3 linked regions of the Alligator mississippiensis genome follow. The protein of the gene in region 1 interacts with the protein of each later gene in a pairwise test. Links are inferred from orthologs where the notes say so. Each region holds a gene or a part of one and is shown on either strand. Other genes may lie near its edges.

Region 1 (8,380 bases):
CAAATAAACATTACCATGTTTTCCAGTATCTCAAGTAATTCTGTACAATACATCTCCAGTTCTTCATTATAGTGAGGAGACAGCTTTCCAGAGTCTTGAGTAGGGTTCTCACATTCAATCTCCAGCCTGTTATCTTTAAATCTATACAAAAGCATATATCAGCGTGAGTGCCTCTGTACACCTTTACTCAGAATGCTAAGAATTTAAAATCCATGCTGTTCTCCACAATTCTAAGGCCTGCATCCTACAAGCCTCTTTTGTGACCAATAAGAGAACCAATGAGTGATTTCTTCAGGCTACCATCCAACACAGATTAGCACCAGATGACTCGGGAAGAGGTGAGAAGCCTACATTAGGCAGTAATGAAATAATCTGTTTACGGTGAAAGTTTCTTTCTAAACCCCACTAGTAATAGGTTACCTTATGCCCTAAAACAGGGATGGGCAATTATTTTGGCTGGAGGGTCACTTTAGGAACTTGGATAAACTATTTTGGGCTGGGGAGGGAGATTGGGGGTGGGAAGTGCTGGCCTAGCTTGGCACACGGCATCAATTGATATTATCTGGCCAGGGTATATCCACCTTGCACCTACCACTGTGGGTGCTGGACAGAGCAGGCAGGTGGGATCTCCATGAAGATCAGCCAGGACCCCTGTAGGCAGGGCACACTTGGACAGGCAGGGAGCAGTGTCCAGGAGTGGGACAGGTTGAGGGGCCAAGATCCCAAGGCAGTGACAGTGCAGGGTCTAGGGCAGAGCCATGATCTGCTCCCTGCAGTCCCATCCTACCCTCCTTGTGGGGCATACCTTGCCCACAGGGCTCCCAGCCAGTCTTAATGGACGCTGTGCCCTCCTGCTCCCTCGTGCCCCTGGTGGTGGCTGCAAGGCGGGTAGGCCAGAGTTGCCTGGGCAGCGGGGTTGGCTCTGGCAGCAGTGGAGATGCTAGTGGCAGCAGTCAAAAGGGGCTGCTCCTGAGAAGCAGAGTTTGACTGCCATGCTGCCCCTGCCCTGTGCCTGGGAGCAGTGGGACTGGCTGCGTGTGCCATGGCTGGGCTGTCCTCCGTTCCTGGGCTAGGCAGGGCCAAGTGACCTACTGCAGGCCAGATAAAATTCCTTGGCAAGCCAGATCTGGCCCATAGGTCATATTTTGCCATACTCACTGCGTGCCATACTCACTGTGCGCTAATTTTCAGGTTCACAATTTTGTTGGCGGCCGTGAAACCCTTATCATTCAAGCTCTCCCATTTCATCATTAAATTATGCCAATCTGCTGCATTATCCTTAATTTTCCTTGCGCTAACAGATAAAACAGGTCTTTTGGGAGTCACAACTGCAGGGCTCTTTGCTATGTAAAAAGGACAGAAAAAGCAGCTTTAAAACTTGTGACAAGGAACTGAAGTGCTGCTCCACCTGGTGATCATAGTTGCACGTGTCCATGTGATGTTTTCTTTGCTTCTCCCTTGGTGACAGCTGAGAAAATGAAACAGAATTTAGCAGAATGGCAGTAACTTAAGAGAGAGGTAGTCAGCTGTGTTGGTCTGAAGTCAGTCAGAAGGCAAGGTAGAGATACACCCTATAAACAAGATAAGATATAAAGAGAGAGCACATGCTTTGTGGGCTGATGCTCAATTTCTTAGATAAGCCCCACAATCCCAGAAACTGCCACAAGAACCAGGGGGGTTTCCCTCTTTTATATAGAAAATCATAGCAGAGAGGGCAGGGGCGGATCCACGGGGATGTGCACTGGTGCATTTGTGCCCCTTTTGATTCCTGATCTACCAAAAATTTAAAACCAACTTCCTGGCCATGCCAGCAGCATTTTTAGTTAGGCAGCTGAGAGAGTCACTTGACTTCATGACTCATTATAATCTACCTGATCCTTTCTAAACTCTTCATTCCACAGGTGTTAATGACCCTCTCTTCTTTTTAATAGTCTTCATGGTCCACTAGTGTAGACTCATTCCAATGAAGTTTGACTTGTTTACTTGTTTCTGCTTCAATTTTAAAGTGAATAATGCAGCCCTAGGCCCCTAGTGGATGAATAAAGCTTCTGGTTTATTTTTAACTGGAGAAAAATGTGTGATGTTTTTTATGCAATGATGCACCTCTCCCTCTTCACCCCCCTTTTCACCATCACAGATCTGCCATAAATCGAGGGGCAGGAATTGGTAGTTGCTACAGGAACAGCAACAATTGTGGGCACATACCCTTGCTACCAACATGGGGTCCTGCCGCACATTCCCACAAAAGCTGGGCAGCAACCAGCTGTAGAGCTGACACACATGTTCAAGCAGTAACTCTATTGCAACTTAGTACTTTTTTAGAGCCAGCTAGTCCCCTTTTTTCTCCTGTGACAATTACTTCACATGTAGACGGTCTATGAGTATTATGCAGTTCACTGAGCAATGCATACAAATAATAGCATGTGGCTGGTCTGTGTGCAGTACGTGATTCATTACACCACTGGCAACGCGTAGGGGGTGCACCCCCTGGAAGTGCCAGCTGCGAAACCAGAAATGCCCCTCTCCCCCGCCATTGGCAATCTGGTGCCTCCCCAGACTTGGGAGACACCTGTCGCCCATACTTGCACGGTACATGTAATGTGTGACTGGTCTACATGTAACACACGGCAAACTGCGGTACATGTAGCATGTGGCCAGTCGACATTTACTGTGCAGTTCATTGTGCCATACATGTAATGTGGGTGGTCTACTCATGTAACGTATGATTCATGGTGCAATACATGTACTACATAGTGTTTCGCCAGTCTGTGTGTACTGCACAATATATGTAATGTGTGGCTGGTCTACATGTAGCACATGGATCACTGCACAACACATCACGCATGACAAGTCTACGTGTCATGCACAGTTCATTGTGCAATACATGTAATGGGTGACCGGTCTATATTTAGTGTATGGGCCATTGTGCAACATGTAACATGTGACCAGTCCATGTGTGCTGCATGGTTCATTGCACGATGCATGTAACATGTGACCGGTCTACGTGCAGTGCACAGTATTACACCATGAACGTGTAATGTGTGACCAGTCCACTGCACTACACATGTAACGTGTGACCGGTCTACGTGCAGCACACAGTATTACACCATGAACATGTAACGTGTGCCCAGTCCACTGCACTACACATGTAACGTGTGCCCAGTCCACATGCAGTGCAGGGTTCATGGCGCAACCTGCAATACGCAGCGTGTGGCTGTACCGCGCACTACATGTAACGTGTAGCAGGGGCCTCCCCCCGCCCCAGACAAGCCCCGGGCCGCCCGGCAGCGGCTCCTCCAGGCCCGCGCAAACCCCCCGCCCGGCCCGGCTCAGCTCTCACCTGCCATCGCCGCCCGCCATGACCCGGCCTGGTCCCGCCCCGGAAGTGAGCTCACGTCCGCCCCCGCCCCGCCCCCCGGCGGCCGCGGCTCGGAGCGGCGCAGCGGCGGCTGCTGTTCTCCGTCGCCCCCGCCCGGCCCCGCCCCCGCCCCCGCCCCGCCGGGCCCCGCGCTGAGGTGAGTGCGGCGGCGGCGCCTCCGCTGGGCGCTGTCTCGCGGGGCGGGAGGGCCTCGGGCGTCGCTCCGCGTCTGTTGCCCCGGCCCCGCGGCGGAGCCGAGGTGGGGATTCTCGAGGGGCCGGGGCTGCGGGGCCCTGCCAGCGTCCGGCCCGGGCCGCTCCCGGGGTGCTCAGTACCCGCCTGGCCGAGGCAGGGGGAAGGAGCGGTCCAGGCTGTGCCGGGCCGGGCCGGCCCCTGCGGGGGTTGAGCCGCTTGAGGGGGGGAAGGTGAGGGTGGGCTGCGCACGCCCAGGGCGCTGTTGTCGTGCGAGAGCCGTGCAGAGCCACGCAGCGTCCAGGCAGCGCAGTGACCGTGAGAGTCCAGAAACGATGCGAAATGGAAGGAAGGGCTTCATAGGGCGATCGCTTTGAGCAGACCCGCTGTGGAGCTGGCATCAAGTTTGATGAGCCTTCGAATGCAGGACGGTCTTCATCAGTGGTGGCCTGAGGGGAGGGCAAACCGGGCAGCTGCGCAGGGCCCCCACGCTTTATAAAAATAAAAATGAACGATACTGAATATTTGTATCCTCAATAAGGTATTAAGATACTTGCATTGCAGTTTCGTGGATAGGGCTATGTGAAATTGAAATAAAAAATGTCTGACTTGCTTATAGGTCAACAAAATTAAGCCTTCAAGGGGCCCCAAATGCCTCACTTGACCAGAGCCCCAGCAGCCCTAAGGCCACCGCTGTTTTTGTCAGGCCACCTCAGGGGTGTGGCTGCGTGTGTGCCGGGGTCCTCGGCCCTGCCACACCTTGCGATGGGGGCTGGGCAGAAGCCAGCTCCAGGGGTGGCTGTAGGGGTGCGGGGACACGGCTCTGACTCACTGTAGTTACAGCACGTCAGAGCAGACTTGGTTCAAGTTGTATGAATTAACGCACGCCAGCTGCCTTTGTGTCTCATGAATTCAGCATCCCCATACTTCAAAATGGAGGTGGGGGCACTTCAACTAAAGCTCACTGAACGAGCTTTACTTAAAGTGCCTCCACTGCTGTTTTGAAGTGCAGGATACTGAATACATGAGCTGCTGCAGGTGCTTTAATTAGAGTGCCCCCAGCCCCAGAGCATGTGTAAAGATGCTCTAAGAGTTATCACACATTTTTAAGCGCTAACTTTGGAGGGGGTTGGCTCTTTTTAGAGCTGGTGCCTCCTTTTTCTCATGTGATTGTTACTTTGTACATGTGGCCGGTCTACATTTATTGCGCAATTTGCCACTCAGTTGCATAGTACATACAGCATGTAGTAGGTGCCTCAAGCACTAACTTTATAGCTGTTTGGTGATTTTTAGAGCTGGCTAGTCATTTTATCACGTGATAATTACATTGCAGGTGTGGCCAGTCTAAATTTATTGCATAGTTCACCAATGAATTGCATAATATATGTAATATAGCAGGGGCCTATAAGTCAGTCTTGTACGACAGCTACCTTGTGTGCTAGTATAGGCCCTGCTACATGTTCATATGAAAGCTGGATAGAACCCAGCTGTCATGCATTTTCAAGTACAGATTTTATATCAGGTTGGCTCTTTTTAGAGCTGGCTAGTAATTTTTATCGTGTGACAGTTGCTTCGCTTTTGTGGCCAGGCTAAATCTATTGTGAGATTAGCCAGTTAATTGCGTAATATGTACCCTGTAGCAGGGGCCTCAAGCACTACCTTTATGTTGGCATTTTTATAGTCATTTTTATCATGTGACAGTTACTTTGCACTTGTGGCCAGTCTCACTTTGCATGTGTGGCCGGTCTAAACTTATTGTGCAATTAACCAGTTAATTGCATAACATGTAGCAGGGGCCTTTAAGTTGAAGTCTTGCACAGCAATTTTCTTGCATGCTAGTAAGGAAATGGCCTGGAAACACATACTGTTAAAGTGCCTGGTTTCTTGGTTCAAGGATGAATGTAAAATTGTTGTAGATGACAACACTATAGACTGGTGGTTTTCAGCCTGTAGTCTGCGGATTCCTGGGGGTCCACAGACTATGTCTAAGGGGCCCATAAAAGATGACTGTGATCAATTAAAAGTGTGTGAATACCCACACTTATAATTCAAAGGGGTCCCACTCCCTACCTCCATTCAACATTTTTTGGGGCCTGCAAATGAAAGAAGGTTGGACGGAAGGACAGGTACACAGACTGGCCTTTTATATCTGTGAGCTGGGTCTAGACATGCTGGGAAGGTGTGCTGAGATGGGTATGGTTGTAGGCAGATCTAAAATTTTGAAAAGCGGGGTGCAGAGGGGCAGGTGCGTCATCACATATAAAACAACATCTGTTTTTTTCCAGTTAAAAATAAACTAGAAGTGTTACTAATATGCTAGGGGACTAGGGCTGTGTTATTCAGTTTAAAATGGAAGCAAAAACAAATCAAACTTAATTGGAATGAGTTAGAAAGCATCTGCAGGGCTGTGAAATAGGCATTTCAGTACCAGGAGCAGCGAACATATAGCAGAACAAAGGATAGCTTGATTGGTGTAAGATCAAGACCAACCTTCTCAACCTTATTCGTTCTGGGACCCGTTTGCCAAGATCGATGTCTTATCCCAAGCCGCCCACAACCCCCAGGCCCTGCTGATGCCTGACCCAAAGTTCCCTGCCAGCTCCCCTCACCCCCAAGCCACAAACCCTTCTCCCCCCCCGCCCTCCCCCCCGGGCCATGCTGGTGTCCTTCACTCCCAATCCATAGTCCTTTACCTCCCAGCCCTGCTGCTGGGGCTCCCAGCTGCCCCCATCCTGTTTGGGCCAGAGCATGAGCAGTGAGTATGTGTATAGGCAGTGGCCCTGTGCTGCCCACCCAGGCATGCAGCTCCCCTCTGTGAAGAACCACCCCTGCCTTCTTTTCCTGCTAAAGGGCCAGGCACCCTTTCCTTGCCGCTCCCCCTGCCCTGCCACAGTCCTGCCTCTGGCCACTGTCCTCAGTACCTGTGTGACACGCATGCACATGTGCACACACACACCCCAGCCCTCTGGACAGTCCCCTGGACTTCCATCTCCCGCTTCTCATACACTTACCTGTGTCCAGCTGCTGGGGCTGCTCCCACGACCTAGCCTTGTGGCATGCTGGCCATGTGCGTCTGTGCGTGCAGGTGCATGTGCGCCTGCTGTTTCCATACATCCTAAGCAGCTCTAGCAGGCTGGAACACTGCCAGCCTGCAAGGGGAAACCTGCACTTTCGTGGGTTTTTCTGGGACTTCCTTGCAACCCTTTCAAATATTCTTGCAACCCACTTTTGGGGCGCGATCCACCGGTTGAGAAATGCTGATCAAGACCATTAAAAAGGAGAAGGTCATTAACACCTGTGGAATGAAAATTTTAGAGGGGAGCAGGTAAATGACAAGAAGCCATGAAGTCAAGCGACTCCCTCAGTGCTGCCTGACTAGTAATGCTGCTGTCATTATCAGGCAGTTGGTTTTAAACTTTGCATAGAGCAGGAATCAAATGGAGGTGCAAGTGCACCAGTGCATTCCTGGATCCACCCCTAGGTAACATTTTTGTGATGTTGAACAACACTGTGGTTTGTTATTTGTGTGTGTGGCATTGGTTTTGCAAATGTGTGTGTTTAATTTTTGTAGCAGACTGGTATTTCTAGGCCTTGGTTTTCTAGAACATTGTTTTAGGTGTGGAATGTTCTTTGGCTCTGGACGCAGAAGCGGCTGCTTAAAATTCCTCCACAGTAAACATTTTGTATTGTGAGACAATATCTTTAAGCTTGCTAGCCATGAATCCAAAATATCAAGAACAACTTTGGCCAATCTTGGAGTCCATTTAAACATGGGTAATAATGGAAAATGCAATCATCTTGAGTTTGTAATAGAAGGTGAAATTTTTGTTGTTGTTGTTGTTAATAGGCAACTCACTTGATGTTACAGTCTCATTCTGAAGTATTTTAATGGAATATAAACTGCAGATTAAAACAAACTAAGTGCCCAAATGGAAAATAACTCAGTGGAAGAAGGTTTGCAAGTTGCATTTTTTGTTACAGAACTTAGAGGAGTGGTTCTCGATTGAGGTACCATGAGATCTTCTTGGGGGTGCTGTGGAAGCAGAGGCAGAGAGGACAGTTTTACGTGCTCACCTCTTTCTGGGAGAAAAGTGAGGGATGAGGGTCTGGACCAGGTAGGGCTACAGCTTAAGCCAGCTCTGTCTGCTTTAGGGATATCAGAGAATCCTAATGGAGGAGGAGCATGTGCACATGTCACAGCCAGTCCTGGTCTGCCTCTGCAGCATGTATATGGGACAGCTCTAACTGGAGGCAGCATCACCCAATTGAGAAATACTGAGGTAAGTTGAGGAAGCACCAATAGTGGTTCTCAACCAGGGGTGCCAACATATTCAAAAAATTGATGGAGAGGTGCCCTTTGCTCTGAAACAGTTGAGAACCACTTGCTTAGCGGTTTCAACTGAGATCAGAATCCATTGTATAGGTGCTGGGCAAAATCATATGAGTTCATCCCTCCTGTAAAGACCTTAAATTTATTTTAAAAGGCAATTCAGGAAAAGATAAGAAAAAGGAAATACTCTTTGTAGTAGAAAGAAGAAGCAGATACGCAGTGAGATATAGCAAACTTATTTGATCACACACAAAGTTTGTGGGAGAGTCTGAAATTGAACCCTTATCCCCCAAGTCCAAGTCTGGTATCCCCACCATTTTCTTTCTCTTTTTTACAAGTTTTGAGTCATGTTCTCCATCCTGAGACTTGATAAAGAAAGCAGTGCTTTTTCACAGAGTCATATCTAGAAAAGCTAATTGTGGTTTTTGTGGATTGAAGAGGCTAGAGTCTCACTTCTTCATGGGAGGCTGTGGTGTATTATAAAACACTAGCATACTACC
Region 2 (7,850 bases), on another chromosome or scaffold:
CCCCTGTAATAATATGTCTTTCCTTGGTTAAGCATTCAATGCACAAAGGGAAATGTAGTTTATATCCTCTGCTGGGTTCATCCTGCCCTAGTAACATGCAGATAGCTGCAATAAGGCAGTCAAGCAGCTCTCATCAACTCATCTTAGAACAGACACAGCAAGTAGTGCACTGTCCCAAGAATTATGCTACATAGGGAGTCTCATGGCAATTACCATGCATCCACTTCTGACTCACATTCTCTCTCAAACATATAATGAGGTAAATACACAGACAAATTTATGGCATCAGATCATGGCATTGATCTCAAGCCCTGAACTTAAGCAAAACAGATATTTTCTGAATGACAAGGGACAGGTAAGAAATATGGATTTAATGGGAAACAACATAACAGAGCTGCCAACTAATATTTGATTCTCTGTTTTCTACTGTAAAAGGGCTGGACTGAAACTCATGATTAATTAGTGCCTTGTAGTTTCATGTTATATCGGAAACTCAAGATATTGATACCTCTCAGCACAATTTGGCTCCAATGTATTTTACAAAGGGTGGCCCTTCTACCCTTGTGAATAATGTAATGAAATTAAAAAGATCTTCAGTTAAAACTTAAAGAAGACTCAAAACTACTTTAAAAATGCTGTACTGAATGGTACAAAAAACAATTAGGAAAAAGAAAGAAAAGTATCTAACCTTTTCCTTAAGGTTTTCATGTTGTGTTTGCAGTACTTCAAATTGAAATGTGTCTTTAACCAGAATATCTTCTGTGCCATTTCCTACTGAAAAAGAGGAAGTAATACTAATTTCACTCTGAAGTAATATAGGTTATAAAATGTTAATATCACAATATTTTTATATTCATCATCATACATATTAATATTTTAGTCCTGAAGTTCATACTTACAGTTTCCATGGTTACTTTACTAAAACATGCATATAGGCTCACAAGAACACACAGAAATACTGGAAGTTGTAAAATTAAATCAGATTTTGAAATTGTTTCTTTTGCTATTTATACCACAATATACTTTATCAAATACAACAAAAGATGTCTAGAAACAAAAGTGTGTATATACTATCTCACTTTCAGCTGCATGTGTCTGTAATCCAAACACACAATAAGTGTGTGAATAGATTGTGTGAAAGCCTGATTCCACCAGATTTCTAAATTCATGCAGTCATTTCTCTTGGTTTTACTTTTGTTAAAATTTTTTCCCCTGATCTCACCATGAAATACACTATACCCAAATGTTGAACCAAATTCAATAGATATGATCTTTTGGATAGGTAGCCCATATTCCTACCACAGAGAAAAAACTCAGAATACCAAATATTCTCTATGGTCTTCCTCCACCCCATTTAAAATATGAAGTGGATGCAAATTTAGGCTGTAAACCTGCAACTAGATGCATGCACTACCACAGGATCTATTTACAAGACACAAGGATTGAGAAACTACATTAAAAATGCAAGTATGCAATCCAATTAAGGTCATTTTGCCTAGCAACTTCAAACTAGCCTTCTTCAGCTGTAACTAGTCAGTCATTTACCATACAGTTATTCGTTGCACATTTCAATGCTGTTTACTAAGTCCAACAAAAACTATACACACAGAACAAATAAAACATAACCAGGCAGCACAGTTGTCAGGAAGAGGGATGGAGAAAGATGAAGCACAGACCAGCATGCTGCTGCTCAGAGAGATGCCCTAAAACCTGTCATATCTGGGTTGAACAGTCAAGAACACAGATTCTTCTAGTCCTCCCTGAAATACTTTACCTACAGAAAAAAATAAGAGGAATTCAAGGTACTGTACCTACTTTGAAAGGATGAAGGGCTGATTTAACACTTGCACAGCACCCCCAGGCACCCTTGAAATTATCTCAAGACACCTTTGTAGAGAATTACTGGCTTAATTCCTTAGATGGAAGACGTTACATACACAAAGCAGGTACTTATTATAGTAAAGCATTACCATGCCACACACACTTGGCATAATGGCTTCCCTCAAGCTTTTTTCTTTACGTCACAGCATGACTGAACCATACATTTTGTAGTGCTTTCTATCTAGCCGATTGTTTACTTGCAGGCGACAACTCCAAAAATTGTACCATCGAGTTACCCAAACACACACACAAAGAAAGAGAAAGCACCGGAAGAGATTTCCCAACCGATGAAAAACATTTTTCCCTTGTGTCCTGATATTTAAGAACGGCTTCATTGATTTAAATGAAACTGTCAACAGTAACATTTACTACTGAGCTGAAATTAAAGAATGAGACTATTCCACGGCCTATTTCCTTTCAGACACCTTCAGTAGCCCAGCTAGAATGGATTTATCAGCTCTGCCTTATCACCCCACGTCTGGGAACGAAGACGTGGGGTGCCAATTGCCCCGCCACAGGCCCACGTACTGGCTTGCACATACCAAGCCCGGCTTTGGCATTTTGTTCAGCGCTGGAAGCATCGTTCCACGGTCTAACGTTCACAGACTTCTGATGGATGATGTTTAGCATTAAGGACGGCCTGACATCCTGCTCCGGTTTCTTAACGTTTGTACTAGGAAGGGTATTTGAGTCCCGGCCTTGTGACAGTGCCTGGGAGGCAATTATATCAATTTCTTCCAAGTCAGCAGCAGTGAAGTCATCATTATCACCAAAGAGATCTTCTGCCTTCTGGGCCATCCCCACATCAACACTTTTGTAGCGCTTGTTGGGTGGGAAGCCGACCCCGGCGGTAGCCCCCTGCCAGGTGGAAGGTGACGAGAGAACCTGCGTCGGATCCACCCCGTAGAGGAAGGCGCCGCTCCGCTTCTTGTTTCCAGACGAGCGGCTCAAGGCCATGCTGTCCCGGCACCTGCCTGCAGAGCCAACGCTCGGCGCAGCCTGCCACAGACGCGGAGCCGCAGGACAAGGGCCGCTGAGCGTCGGGCAGCGGCCGCGCCGCAGGAGCCCGGCGGGGCCCAGCCTCGCAGACTGGACGGGGCTCAGAGTGCTGGCTCCTGCCAGTCGGGACAGGTAGCCCGGGATGCGTCGTGTGCGCCCTCGGCCAAGTCACGGCCCCTCCGCAGGCAGACGGTCGGGGAGCGCTGCTCCCCTGGAGCAGAACCAGCCACCGCTGCCAGCACTGGAGCAGCTTCCCGACCCGCGCAATACGCGAGACCCGCCAGCCAGCACAGCCAATCGGCGACCATTTCTTCTCGTTGACCAATCAGAGAAGCCCCAGGCAGAATCACTCCGGCCGGGACCTGCAGAGGTCAAACAACAGCAGTCTGGGAAATGTTAGTAATAAAAGTCTTTACGATTGGCAGTTAGAAGCGGCTTTGTGAGGCTGTCCCTGATTGGCAACGGCATCTCATGAAAGGAAGCGAGGCTTCCAGCACTTTTTGGCGCCCTTAAGCGCTGCGCCAGATGGGCCGGGCCGGGCCGGGCCGCGCCGCGCCGCGCCGCTTGTGGTTTAAGCACGGAGCTCTTATACCCCAGCAGCCGCGGCACGGCGGCCTGCCCCTGGCGAAGCCTCCGCTCGCAGCCTCTTTCGTATGAGCTATGGTAGCTTATGTGAGTTGGGCAATGCCGGGCGCTGCCGTGTCGCCTTCTGCAGAGGGGCGGGTGGGCCTCGGCCTCTGCTTCTCTTGTGGGCCCGGGACTGCCAGGTGCACTGGCCGGTGCATACTCGGGACCGGGCAAAGCCTGAGCTGGGGGTGTATGTGCTGAAGCTGGGCTGCATTTAAATCATGAGCAGTGGCCTGAAAAAGAATAAGAATCTGTTTATCAAGCCCCTAGTGCTAGGCTGGGCCAGGAATGAACTGTTTTTTTGTGAGAAGTGTAACAGGAGCAAGGAAGAACCAGCGATGTTTTGCCTTGTGATGATGATGGAGTTGTTTGTAGTCTGCTGGAATCCTCCTGCAATAACAATATGTCTTTGTGACCCTGTTGTTAGCCTCAGCTGCTTTCAAGGGACTTATGCTAGGTTGCAGAAGTGTGGCTAAAGGAGGCCACAAAGCTTCTCTAGGATTGGATGTCTGCAGAGGTTTCAACTGGCATAGTCAGCAAAGTAAAAGAGCACAAGGTGGCAAGTAGTGCTCCCACATGATGAGAGAGAGACCAGAAGTTGTCTCCCAAAACTGCACCTCTTACAGGGACCCAGACCCCAGCTAGTTGGCATCTTCCAAGTCCACACAATAACACCAGCCAGAATATTTAAATGAGCAATGTATACATATTGGGTATAAACAGAAATTTTAGGAAAGACCTCAGCAAGTTCAAGACTGCCTGCTGCAAGCCTGCATGGCACCTTCCTCTTCCTCCCGGCATCTCCCCCCAGTATAGAAGATAAGGCTATTGTGCAGTTGCAGGTAGGTAGATAGGCATAGAGATAATTGCTTACCTTATGCTTTGGGGTGTAATGAATAAAAGGTTGGATTATAGAAGCATCTGTTGTCTCTTGTTCTAACTAGGGTGGTAGTAATACCATACCTGGTAAAAAGGAATGTGAGATAATTGGGAAGTCAGATTGTATCTTGATTTGGTATAAAAAAAGGTAATCTCTAAGGGACTTGTAACTGTTCCTGAATTCTGTGTCTAAGCTTGTAAAGAAGTCCTGATCATAGACGGGCTGTAGTCTCGTCTCTCTCAAACAATCAAACAGTACTGGGTTTTTGATAACAATCTGCTTTCTTCCTTACACCTCCCGGCAGCCTTCAAAGGATTTGGTGGCATCACAAAGTGTCCCAGTCCCCTGTTTGAGAATCACTGCCTTAGCAGGTAACATCACAGCCTAAGCAATATCATGGTGCTGTGACAGCTAATTTAGCAGAGCACATTGGAATGTCCTGCCATTGTGTCCTGATGTTTCAGTACCATGATGTAGTGTCATGATACTGCATTGCCTTGGTACAATACAGTAATGAATGGCAATGTTGCAGTGACACCATAGGTGCCGAGTACATTGGGGCCCAAGGGCCCTGGCCCCCATTGAGAAGAGGGTAGGGTAACCGCCCATCCCTAATTGGGCAGGACAGTCCTGAAATGGGAACATCAAGTCCCAGTCCTCAGCTACATGACTCAGGGGCAGCATTTATCCCAGATTCCCAGTATTGTACAGGGATCTGAGTTTTCATTTCACTGTGGAAAAACATGGAAAACAGCAGGTTTTCCCTTGCAGGCTGGCAGAGTTCCAGCCTGCGGGGGGCTGTGGGGTGAGACTCAAGGGGGTCCACATGCATGTGACCAGGAATACAGCCCCAGGCAACAGTGGAGAGCAGCTTCCCCCAGCTGCCTGCGGGGAAGTCTGTGGGGTGGGAGTGGAACAGACTGAGGCCCCCACAGTGAGGGAGGGGCTGGGCGTAGGGGAACTGCCTGGCCAGGGGTGTTGTCCAGCCAGGGCAATACCTGGGGCCTGGGGCAGGGAGTGAGAGAGCCAGGGGTGGCTCATCACTGGGGAGAAAGGGGTGCTTTCTGCTGCTGATGCACTCCTGAGGAAGGAAGAATGTGGGGGGCACATACCCCCCCAGATTTGTGCATGAGGCAGGGGTGGATGCAGCCTGGCCGCTGCAGCTTTGGGGCTCCCGCCCTACTGCCTTCCCCCCAGGAGCCCCACACTGGCCACACCACTGTGGTGAGGCACCCCCTGCCTGCCCAGCAGCAGCAGCCAAAGTAGTGGCACAGAGTTGTGCCCCCTGGTGCTGATGAGCTGGCAGGGGGCACCTCGTCATGTTGGTGCGGCTGGCATGGAGCTCCTGTGAGGAAGGCAGCAGGGTGGGCAGCTGCAAGCTGACAGTGGGCCGTCCTCATCTGTCCCTGGTCCCCCACAGACTGCTCACCTCTGCTTCAGCCATGCCATTATGGGAGAGGGAGCATCATCTTAAGCCCCTGCCTAGCAAAAATAAAAGTTGGAGCCTAGGAATGTCACAATAGTTAGTATTTTGAGTATTTGTTGACCAGTGTCTTGTGTCAACTCATTTTGTGGTGGGATGCACTTAACAGTATACTTCAGTGGTAAGTGTGCAGTGAAGGGTACACCATTGTTGTTATTGTATAATTTTCTATAAGTATGATTTCACACCATGAATGACACAGTGGTGTAATGGTGGAAATCGGGGCTTGGCTCATTTAGTTGTATGTTAAGTAGGTCAGCAGATGACCTTTATCTGACCCACCCTCAAGAGGCCCTGGAATATGCTGTGGGCACACCCATGTGCCGTTTGTAGAGCCCTGGCGTGCCAGGTGCACTACCCTTATAAAGGGCTTTAATGGACAGAAATGGTGTGAGGTGTGTGTGTGTGTGTGTGTGTGATTGGAGTCTGACTGAGTGTTTTGGACTGAAAGAAGTCAGGGTGCTTGTTGGCAGGAAAGAGAGAGAGAGAGAGAGAGAGAGAGAGAGACACACACGGAGAGGCTGAGTGACGGATCCACTGTGTGAGCCGCGGAGGTTCCTGGGCCCAGTCGCCATGGGAGATCCTTTGTTTGCTACCAGAGCAGAAAGGGTTGGCTCCCCAGGCTCTTCCCTCCAGGTGTGTAAGTAGCAGCCCTCTGCTCTGATCCGTAATCATTACCCTATTCTGTTCTTCTCTTCTGGGTTATTGGGGTTCTTCTTGGTGCGTGTCTGAAGAAGATTAGAAGCCACTGCCTGAGGTGCAGTCATCTCTACCCCAGTGACCGGAGCAGAACTAAATAAAGTTCCCCTGTCCCTTATAATAAAGTTTAGTCCTTTTTATTGTCGTTGTTGTGATAAGATATTGTTGGGTTAGGATTTGTATAGAAGACTAAGTATATTTCTGTGACTAACCTGTTCTTGTTAGTTTTATAATAAACTGTCTTGTTTGTATACTTTTAACAATTCTCTGAGTTATTTATTTAATAAAAGTGGTGATTAGATATGCTTTGGGCAAAGAACTACCCCACCTTTCAGAGGGTTAATTGACAGAGAACCGCTGTTTGGGCAGGGTTAGATAATTGGAGACTAAATTGATAATTAACTCCCAACAGTAGGATGTTTGTCATTAACTGTAATTAATTATTTATATTCCTATTGAACCAGTTATGGACCAGGACCCCATCCTAGGTGCTGTATGAATTGCACCTGTATTATCTTGCATTTCTAGTAATTTCCTCTGCTGCCTTTGCAATTCTCTACAGTGATTTAGAGGCCTATACATGTTAGGCTTTCCATCTCAACAGCCTCTATCAAACATGATTAGTACGTGTGCCCCAAGGTTCTGAGATGGGTATCCCTGTCCATTTGTCACCCCCCAAACCCTCAAGGTACCTGTGGTGACCTCCAAAGTGTCCTTGGGGATGATCCTCATTTGTGCTGTTCTGGGACTCTCTCCTTTCTTTTTCATGTCTTGCAATCTCTGAATTGTCAACCATACACCTTAGCACCCACACCACACCAGCCCTTGGGATTCTCCCTGGATAGTTGAGGGTTGGTTAGAGAGTGTTGGACCATGGTGGTCTCCCAGTTGCTGATGATCCAAACAATCTTCCCTATTTTGCAGTCCTCCACCTCTTTCAAAGACACAACCCTCTTAAGTGATGGCCAAGCACTGTACGCTGCATTGGGAAATAGCCCATCATGCTATGCTCTCCTACTGCTGGAGAAGATAGTGCTGTCTTGACCTTGTCAACTGTAATGGCAATGTGACTTACATGACATGATCACACCCCGGAGAAAGGCAATACTTTTCAGTGCCAGAGCAAAGTTGCATTAGTACATCCTGAAGAAGTTGGAGTACCTCACTGGAAACTAGGTGATGATAAGATGTTAAAATAGACTCCTTCCTGGAGTGACAGTCTGGTGGTGGAAGTGGTGAGGCAGGAGTAGTTGTGCTCCCATAGCCAGTAAGAAGGAATGA
Region 3 (7,325 bases), on another chromosome or scaffold:
GACCAGCTTTCAATCTGCCAGTGCAGAGAAGCCTGGGATAATGATGTAGAAAGAGTGCAACTGGTAGCTGATCCCAATCCCAGAATCATGCCTCCTGCCATGCACGTGTGGCATAATATAGTTGTTGGGATTGGGGATCAGATCCCAGGACAACTTTAAATTAGTATGTGACAGGAGCCTAAGAAAAGGCATATCCATCTGATTTGAGGGGTAGCTCAGAGGTTTCCAACCAGCAGGCCATGAAGGGTTGGCTGCCGGGTCACGGCATGAGCTTTAACCACTGCTAGCAACAGTTCTATGCCCAGGCCGCACCCATGCCCTGATGACTGGCTGGGCGAAAATATCCTCCGCTTGGCCAATGACTGTGACTTTAGATTTTGAAATTGGACCGTGGTAACTGTGGCTAGTCACTTCCCTATCAGCGAGACTGTTGTAACCACTAATGTCTGGCTTGTCTCCTATGTGTATCCTCTGCAGCTAGGTAGCTAACATTAGCCAGCTAGTGATGTGTACGTATGATTTTTGGCCATTGTCTCCCTCCATGTAAAAAATAAATTTAAATATGTAAATTAGATTGTTTCTATACCCGGTTCGCCAGTATTCTTTGAGTGAGTTTGCTGGTCTGCAGCATAAAAAAGGCTGGGAACCACTGGGGTAGCTGACATTCAATGCTGATTCAGCAATGATTTGACTCAAGCAATACTAACACTCTGCATGTCTGACATGGCTTTGAACCAAGGAAGTGAATCATTAGCCAGGATTCACCACCTTGGACTTCTATGATTGTCAGGAGCACCCCCAGTTTTGACCCACCTATTCTCAAGCAGACTAAGGGTAGTGAGGTGCAGACGAGGGCTCATACCTTTTAAGCCTTTCTTCGGTTTTGTAGCCTAAGGAAAAAAATAAATTTTGGCTTGTTACAAAAATAATAAGCACCGGAAGCAAGACACATCCAACAGGACTTTTCCTGCATGATGATCATAGGGCTGGAAGGGGCCTCAAGAAGCCATTTAGTTCAACCCCATGCTCAAGGCAGGATCATCCCCAACTAAACCAACCCAGCCAAGGGTCTGCACAACTTGCTCTTGAAAATTTCCAGGGATGGAGTTTCCACAGCTTCTCTAGGCAGCCGGTTCTAATGCTTGACCACTTTCACAGTCAGAAAGTTCTTCCTAATCTCCAAACTAAATTTCTCCTGCTGCAGTTTGACACCATGCTCCTAGTCCTGTCCCCTACAGCCATGGAGAACAGTTTATTCCCATCCTTTTTATAATCATCCTTCAGTTTTTGAAGACTGCTATCAACTCCGCCACCCCCCCTCCCAGTCTTCTCTTCTTCAAGCTAAATAATCCTGGCTCTTCCAGCCTTTCCTTATAAGTCATGTTACCCAGGTCTGTAATCACTTAGTTTTGTTGCCCTCCACTGAACTCTTTCCAATTTGTCCACATCGTTCTCCAAGTGTGGGGCCCAAACCTGGACACAGTACTCCAGGGGAGGCCTAACCAGTGCTGATCAGAGCAGCAGAATCACTGCCCTGTTAATTCTCTGTATCGTAGAACCACGTTAGATAACTCAGTCTAGGCAAGCCAGCCCAGATGCAACATTATTGTTATTGTCATTATTTAGATGCATGTCCCGCACTATCCAGAAAGCCTCAGGGTGGCTTACGATACCAGGTATGACACGTCCACCACGATCCCTGTTGTTTACTGAAGTGAAAGTCAGATTTTCTTGTACAATCCCGACACAATATGGGAAAGCTTCCCAGGCCAATTGGGACATGATGCATGAAATAATGGAATCTGTCCCGCATACTCCTGAAGATTACCATAAGTAACTGTAGCAAGCACAGTCCCTGCTCGGTGCTAACTAGACAGCCAGGATTTGCAAAAGTCTAGTGGTGCATTCAATCATCGCTGCCTTAGGACGGTGGTTCCCAACCTTTTTTATACTGTGGATTGGCAAACTGTGGACTGGAAGTGACTGTGGACCAGCAAACTGCGTACCGACAGCCAACCCTTTGTGGCTCGGTATTGTGCCATGGCCCGGTGGTTGGGAACCTCTGCCTTAGGGCATCACAGCAATGAAGTCTGCCCGTTTCTGTTTCTAGTTTTCATAACTCTTTTCTACCCATTGCCCCTTCATGTCACACTCACCATCTCACGGCTTGCAGGGGTCCTTTCTTCCGTGGGCTTCTGCTCACAGTCATTCAGTCTCCACCTCCAGATACGGTTTAACAACGTAATCCCGCGACCCAATCGATTCAAGCCCGGTTGGTCTAAGGAAAGAGAGAGCAAGATTTCCTGCTTCAACCTCCACATTCAGCAGGATTGCTGCGCAGCCGACTTCCCTTTCTACCCAAGACCTTTCAAGTTTTCCATCTCACCGCTCTCTATACCAGCGGTTCCCAAACCGTGGGTCACGACCCCCAGTGGGGTGCCAACAGCAGTGGATGGGGTTGCGGGGGTGGGGAGCTGGGAACGAGGGGCCACGCTGAGGAAAACGGGGTCATGCCGAGGTGAAGTTTGGGAAGCGCTGACCTAGACGGAGGCAAGGGCAGATTGGTTTTAAAAAAAAGAAAGAAAAGCGCTTGGCACTTGCAGCGAGTTGGATGGGACGACCCCTGAATGTTTCAGAGACATTGAGACGGTCAAATACCCCCACGAAAGGGGTAAGAAACACCATCCCGGTTTCAGGCGGACACGGCTGTTTGGGTGAGTCTGATATCTCTTATTAGACCGACTCAAATCGCTGGAAAAATTCTTCTTTGCAAGCTTGCGGGTATAAATACCCCTCGTCAGGCTGAGGAAGCTCTTCCTGGAGGGAACGAATAGTAAAGAGGCCGGCGGCCGGTCTGCACGCCAGGAAAGGCCGTCGGTGAGGATGTAAACTGAGGAGTGGGGGGATGATGAACTGCGGAGAGGTACCTGCGGAGTCAGGTTATAACGTGGCATAAATCCAGTGTCCATGATTTTCTGCATCCAGCAGGCTGAAGGGAAGCTCACCCTGGGTCAGTGCTGCCAACTGAGGCTCGAGGCCGGGACGTGAATGGTCCGCGGTCGGTTTTTGTGTCTTAATGACTTGTCAGGCCCAACTGCGGACCCAGGACGAGACGAAGGGAACGGTGCCGGGAGCGGCGGGGGCAGGGAGAAAACCCCGGTCTCCTGCGGGCGGAGGCTGCAGCCCGCGCCGCGCACCCCGGCGGGAGCAGGCTGAGCCGGGGCGGACCCGCGCGGTTGCCACAGCAACTGCTCCCACCTCGGCGCTCAGCCTCGAGCCTCCCGGGAGACGTAGTTCCTCCCTGAACTACAACTCCCAGCACCCCTTGCGGGCCCAACCGGATGTAGAGGCAGGTCGCGGGCTGAGGCAGGTGATTGGCGGGCTGGCATCCAATCAGTGGTTCAGGCGTACTGCGCATGCCCGGGCCCCTGGGCGCATTAGATCAGGCGCCCGTGGGGGCTAGGCTGGCTCTTAGCACCCGTGCAGCTGGTGATAACTGGGACGGACAGCTTCCCTCTGCTGTAGTCACCGCATCCACCGGGGAGCCCCTCCCCCCATACAGAATTGAAGGCTACTCCAAACAGCTGAGCAAATCATTCAGCAGCCTGGGCTGGAGTCCTGCGGGGGGGAGAGGCTTGCAGGGAAGCTGGTGGACAAGGGGCCACAGTCCTCCCCCTTCCTGGCTGCAGTGGGTGAAGCATTTCTTCAGACTGGGGCATCAGGGGCTGCCTGTGTGTTACCCCTAGTAATCCTGGGACATGTTAAGGACTTGCAGAGAGAAAGCGTGGTCTTGAAACGGGTGTAGGTTGTAGCTGTGTTAGTCTTGAAACAGCACCAGAGCTGCCAGGGCAGTGCTTGAGAGGCAGGTGTTTACTTCAAAAGACAAGGAGCCAAACTTGTTGCACTGGCACGTGGAGGAGCCGAGCTGGAAGAGCAAGAGCTGTCAAGGCCCAGTAGCCTTATGCAGGGCGGAGCTCTTTGTTCCTTGCCCATGTCTTTCCTCACAGACGTGTGAAGGAGGTTAGTTACGCAATCCCCCACCTGCATTCAGCACACTTGCTCAGGCATCTGAAGCTGGTTCTTGCTTCTGTTTTGGATCAATCTGTAGGGGTCTGGGCTCTTCCTTGGAAAAGGCCCAGAGGCATACACCCAATGGAAGGGACAGGCCATCACCAGGGAGGACTATATCTCCATTGCTCAGGATTGTAAGGGGGCTGTTAGGAAGGCCAAGGCGGAGATGGAACTGGGACTAGCAACCCGGATCAAAGATAACAAGAAGTCCTTTTTTAAATACATAGGGAAGAAAATGAACATTCCGGGTAACATGGGGCCTCTGCAGGACACGCTTAGAAATCTGGTCATCACACCAGACGACAAAGCTAACCTATTTAACAATTTGTTGCCTCCATTTTTCTGAGCAGGGACCAGGTCATCTCCCCCACCGGAATCCCAGGGTCAGAGATGACCTAGTCAGGGAACTTCTGGAGGGACTGGACATGTTCAGATCAGCAGGTCCTGACGATTTCCACCCCAGAGAGCTGAGGAAATTACCAGAGGTCATTGCAGGACCCCTGGCGCAGCTTTACGAGCACTCATGGTGCTCTGGCGAGGTGCCAGAGGATTGGAAAAGGGCCAATGTGGTCCCCATTTTCAAAAAAGGAGGAAGGAGGACCCAGGAAATGATAGGCCTGTTAGTCTTACCTCGGTCCTGGGGAAGCTTGTTGAGAAAATTATCCAGGTGCATATCTGCAAGGGGCAAGCAGCGGAGTGTATGCGTAGGGGCAACCAACATGGATTCATCAGAGGCAGGTCCTGTCAGACCAACCTGGTGGCCTTCTATGACCAGGTCACAAAAATCCTTGGACGCAGGTGTCATGGTGGACATAGTCTTTCTGGACTTTAGGAAGGCCTTCGACACGGTCTCTCACCCCATTCTTGTTAAAAAATTAGGAGATTGTGGTATCGGTGCTTACACAGTCAGATGAGTCGCCAATTGGCTGGATGGCCGCACCCAGAGTGGTGGTGGACAGGTCTTTTTCAACCTGTAGGGATGTGGGCAGTGGGGACCTCCAGGGCTCGGTACTCAGGCTTGCACTGTTCAACATTTTTATCAGCAATTTGGACGAGGTGGTGAAAAGCACCTTGTTCAAATTCACAGATGACACTAAGATGCGGGGAGAAGTGGGCATGCTCGAAGGGAGGGACAGGCTGCAATTGGATCTGGACAGGTTACAGCAGTGCGCAGATGAGAATAAGATGGGTTTCAACACTGACAAGTGCAAGGTACTGCACCTAGGGAGAAAGAACCAGCAGCATACCTACAGGCTGGGGAACTCCCCTCTTGTCGGCGCAGAGGCAGAATAGGATCTTGGAGTCATTATAGACTCCAAGATGAACATGGGCTGCCAATGTGGGGATGCAGTCAGGAAGGCTAACTGCACCTTGTCATGCATCCACAGATGCATCACGAGCAGGTCCAAGGAGGTGGTCCTCCCCCTCTATGAGACACTGGTCAGGCCACAGTTGGAATACTGCATCCAGTTCTGGGCACAGCACTTCAGGAGAGATGTGGACAGCATTGAGAGGGTCCAGAGGAGGGCCACTTGCATGATCAGAGGGCAGCAGGGCAGGCCCCATGAGGAGAGGCTACGAGACCTGAACCTGTTCAGCCTCTACAAGAGAAGGCTGAGGGGATCTGGTGGCTGTCTATAAACTGGCCAAGGGAGACCAGCAGGCAATGGGAGAGTCCCTGTTCCCCCCAGCACTACTGGGCGTAACAAGGAATAACAGCCATAAGTTGACGGAGAACAGGTTCAGGCTAGACATCAGGAGGCGCTACTTTACAGTTAGGGCATCTAGGATTTGGAACCAACTTCCAAGGGAAGTGGTGCTTGCTCCTACCCTGGGGGTTTTCAAAAGGAGGCTAGACAATCACCTTGCCGGGGTCGTTTGACCCAGCATCCTTTCCTGCCCATGGCAGGGGGTCGGACTTGATGACCTGCTCAGGACCCTTCTGACCCTAGCAACTATAAAACTATGGAACTGTCATTAGTAGAGTGCACCAATAGAGAATTTTTGGGCTGATGCTCGTGGTCAATTTTTAACAAGCCGTATTGGCCAATACCAATCTTATTGCCGATATGCAGCCAGACAGCATGGAGAGCAGCATCTGGCTGGTAAGTCTTATGGGGAAGGGCGGACTGAGGTCCCCTCTGTGCAGCGCCTGCCCCTGCTCCAGCCCCACTCCCTCCCTCACTGGCGTAGCCTTGGTCTACCCCCCACATGGCCCTTCCCTCGCCCCTCTCCCCTTCCCCCACAACAGACTTGTCAGTCAGACCCGGCTGCTTTCCACTGCTGGGCTGTGCTTCAGGCTGCCTGCGTGGTGCGCTGCAGCTGTGCACATTCACAGGGCATTTATTGGCCACATTATCAGCCACATCAGCCAAAAAAAACAGACTGCCAATGCCGTCAATGTTCCTTATATCTGTGCCGATCTGATATGAGACCGATGTATCGGTGCACCTCTATTCATTGGATTTTTTTATTTTTTTTTTAAACTAAGCATTTCATTTAGATTTAATGCCCAGTGCTGTCCTCTTGTTGGAGGTGCTACAAACCCTCCCAACAGAAATGCTGCCTGAGTGCATCTTTAACATGTTCTAAAACGATCACCAGAACCAGATTCTCAGTTCTACCTCTGAACCACAGGACTCCGGCTTACCTTAAGGGGAGGTCCTGAACCTCAAAGCTGCTCTTCATCGATTGGGGGTGGGGAGAGAGGGAGTTTCTGTAGCCAAACAAAGTCAATAGAAAACAAAACCTAAGCAAGCTCTTTTTGTCTTTTGTTGCACAGATTCAGAGAGGAACACAAAATTCTGTTAAAAGCTAAATCTTTAATCTGTTAATACAGAAATCAACTGTGCAAGTTTCATTCAGTATAAAATGGACAATTTTTAAACAGATCAGAAGTACATGGGGCGGGGTGGGGAAAGGAAGCAGAACTGCAGGCACTCCACTTGAGAGAGGTTTTTGTTTGCATGCAACACCACTGTGGATACTACAGATAAAGCTGAATGGGGCAACAAGACCCAACCCAACCAATTCTTGTTCACAAATATTGGCTTTGTCATAGGTCATTTTTGCAAATTCCGCCAGCAAATGGTGACTTTTCACCACAAATTATTACATTAGTGTTTGTAAAATGCTTTGCAGCTAAGTGCTATGAAAATGCTAGAGATTAAAACGATGGCGGAACACCCAATAAATTGCTCCCAGCTGAAATCTGCCCTTACTTTTCTGTTAAAAAAAAAAGTATCACTGTATTC

The links.
Region 2: the proteins of CINP (region 1) and ATRIP interact in binary tests that used the Homo sapiens proteins (3 or more experiments, as listed by UniProt). The link is inferred for Alligator mississippiensis from reciprocal best matches to the Homo sapiens genes CINP and ATRIP.
Region 3: the proteins of CINP (region 1) and FBF1 interact in binary tests that used the Homo sapiens proteins (3 or more experiments, as listed by UniProt). The two-hybrid records come from large-scale screens. The link is inferred for Alligator mississippiensis from reciprocal best matches to the Homo sapiens genes CINP and FBF1.

The regions. Positions count from the first base shown.
Region 1 is NC_081825.1:285,087,306-285,095,685, forward strand, and holds the start of CINP (cyclin-dependent kinase 2-interacting protein), read right to left. Parts: upstream 3,410-8,380; 5' UTR 3,348-3,409; coding exon 3,341-3,347; intron 1,344-3,340; coding exon 1,175-1,343; intron 142-1,174; coding exon 15-141; intron 1-14. UniProt on the Homo sapiens protein: Component of the DNA replication complex, which interacts with two kinases, CDK2 and CDC7, thereby providing a functional and physical link between CDK2 and CDC7 during firing of the origins of replication.
Region 2 is NC_081835.1:37,258,065-37,265,914, reverse strand, and holds the start of ATRIP (ATR-interacting protein), read right to left. Parts: upstream 3,247-7,850; 5' UTR 2,839-3,246; coding exon 2,424-2,838; intron 775-2,423; coding exon 689-774; intron 1-688. UniProt on the Homo sapiens protein: Required for checkpoint signaling after DNA damage. Required for ATR expression, possibly by stabilizing the protein.
Region 3 is NC_081831.1:13,306,682-13,314,006, forward strand, and holds the start of FBF1 (fas-binding factor 1), read right to left. Parts: upstream 3,247-7,325; 5' UTR 3,006-3,246; exon of another isoform or gene 2,928-3,005; intron 2,279-2,927; 5' UTR 2,160-2,278; coding exon 2,157-2,159; intron 891-2,156; coding exon 863-890; intron 1-862. UniProt on the Homo sapiens protein: Keratin-binding protein required for epithelial cell polarization. Involved in apical junction complex (AJC) assembly via its interaction with PARD3. Required for ciliogenesis.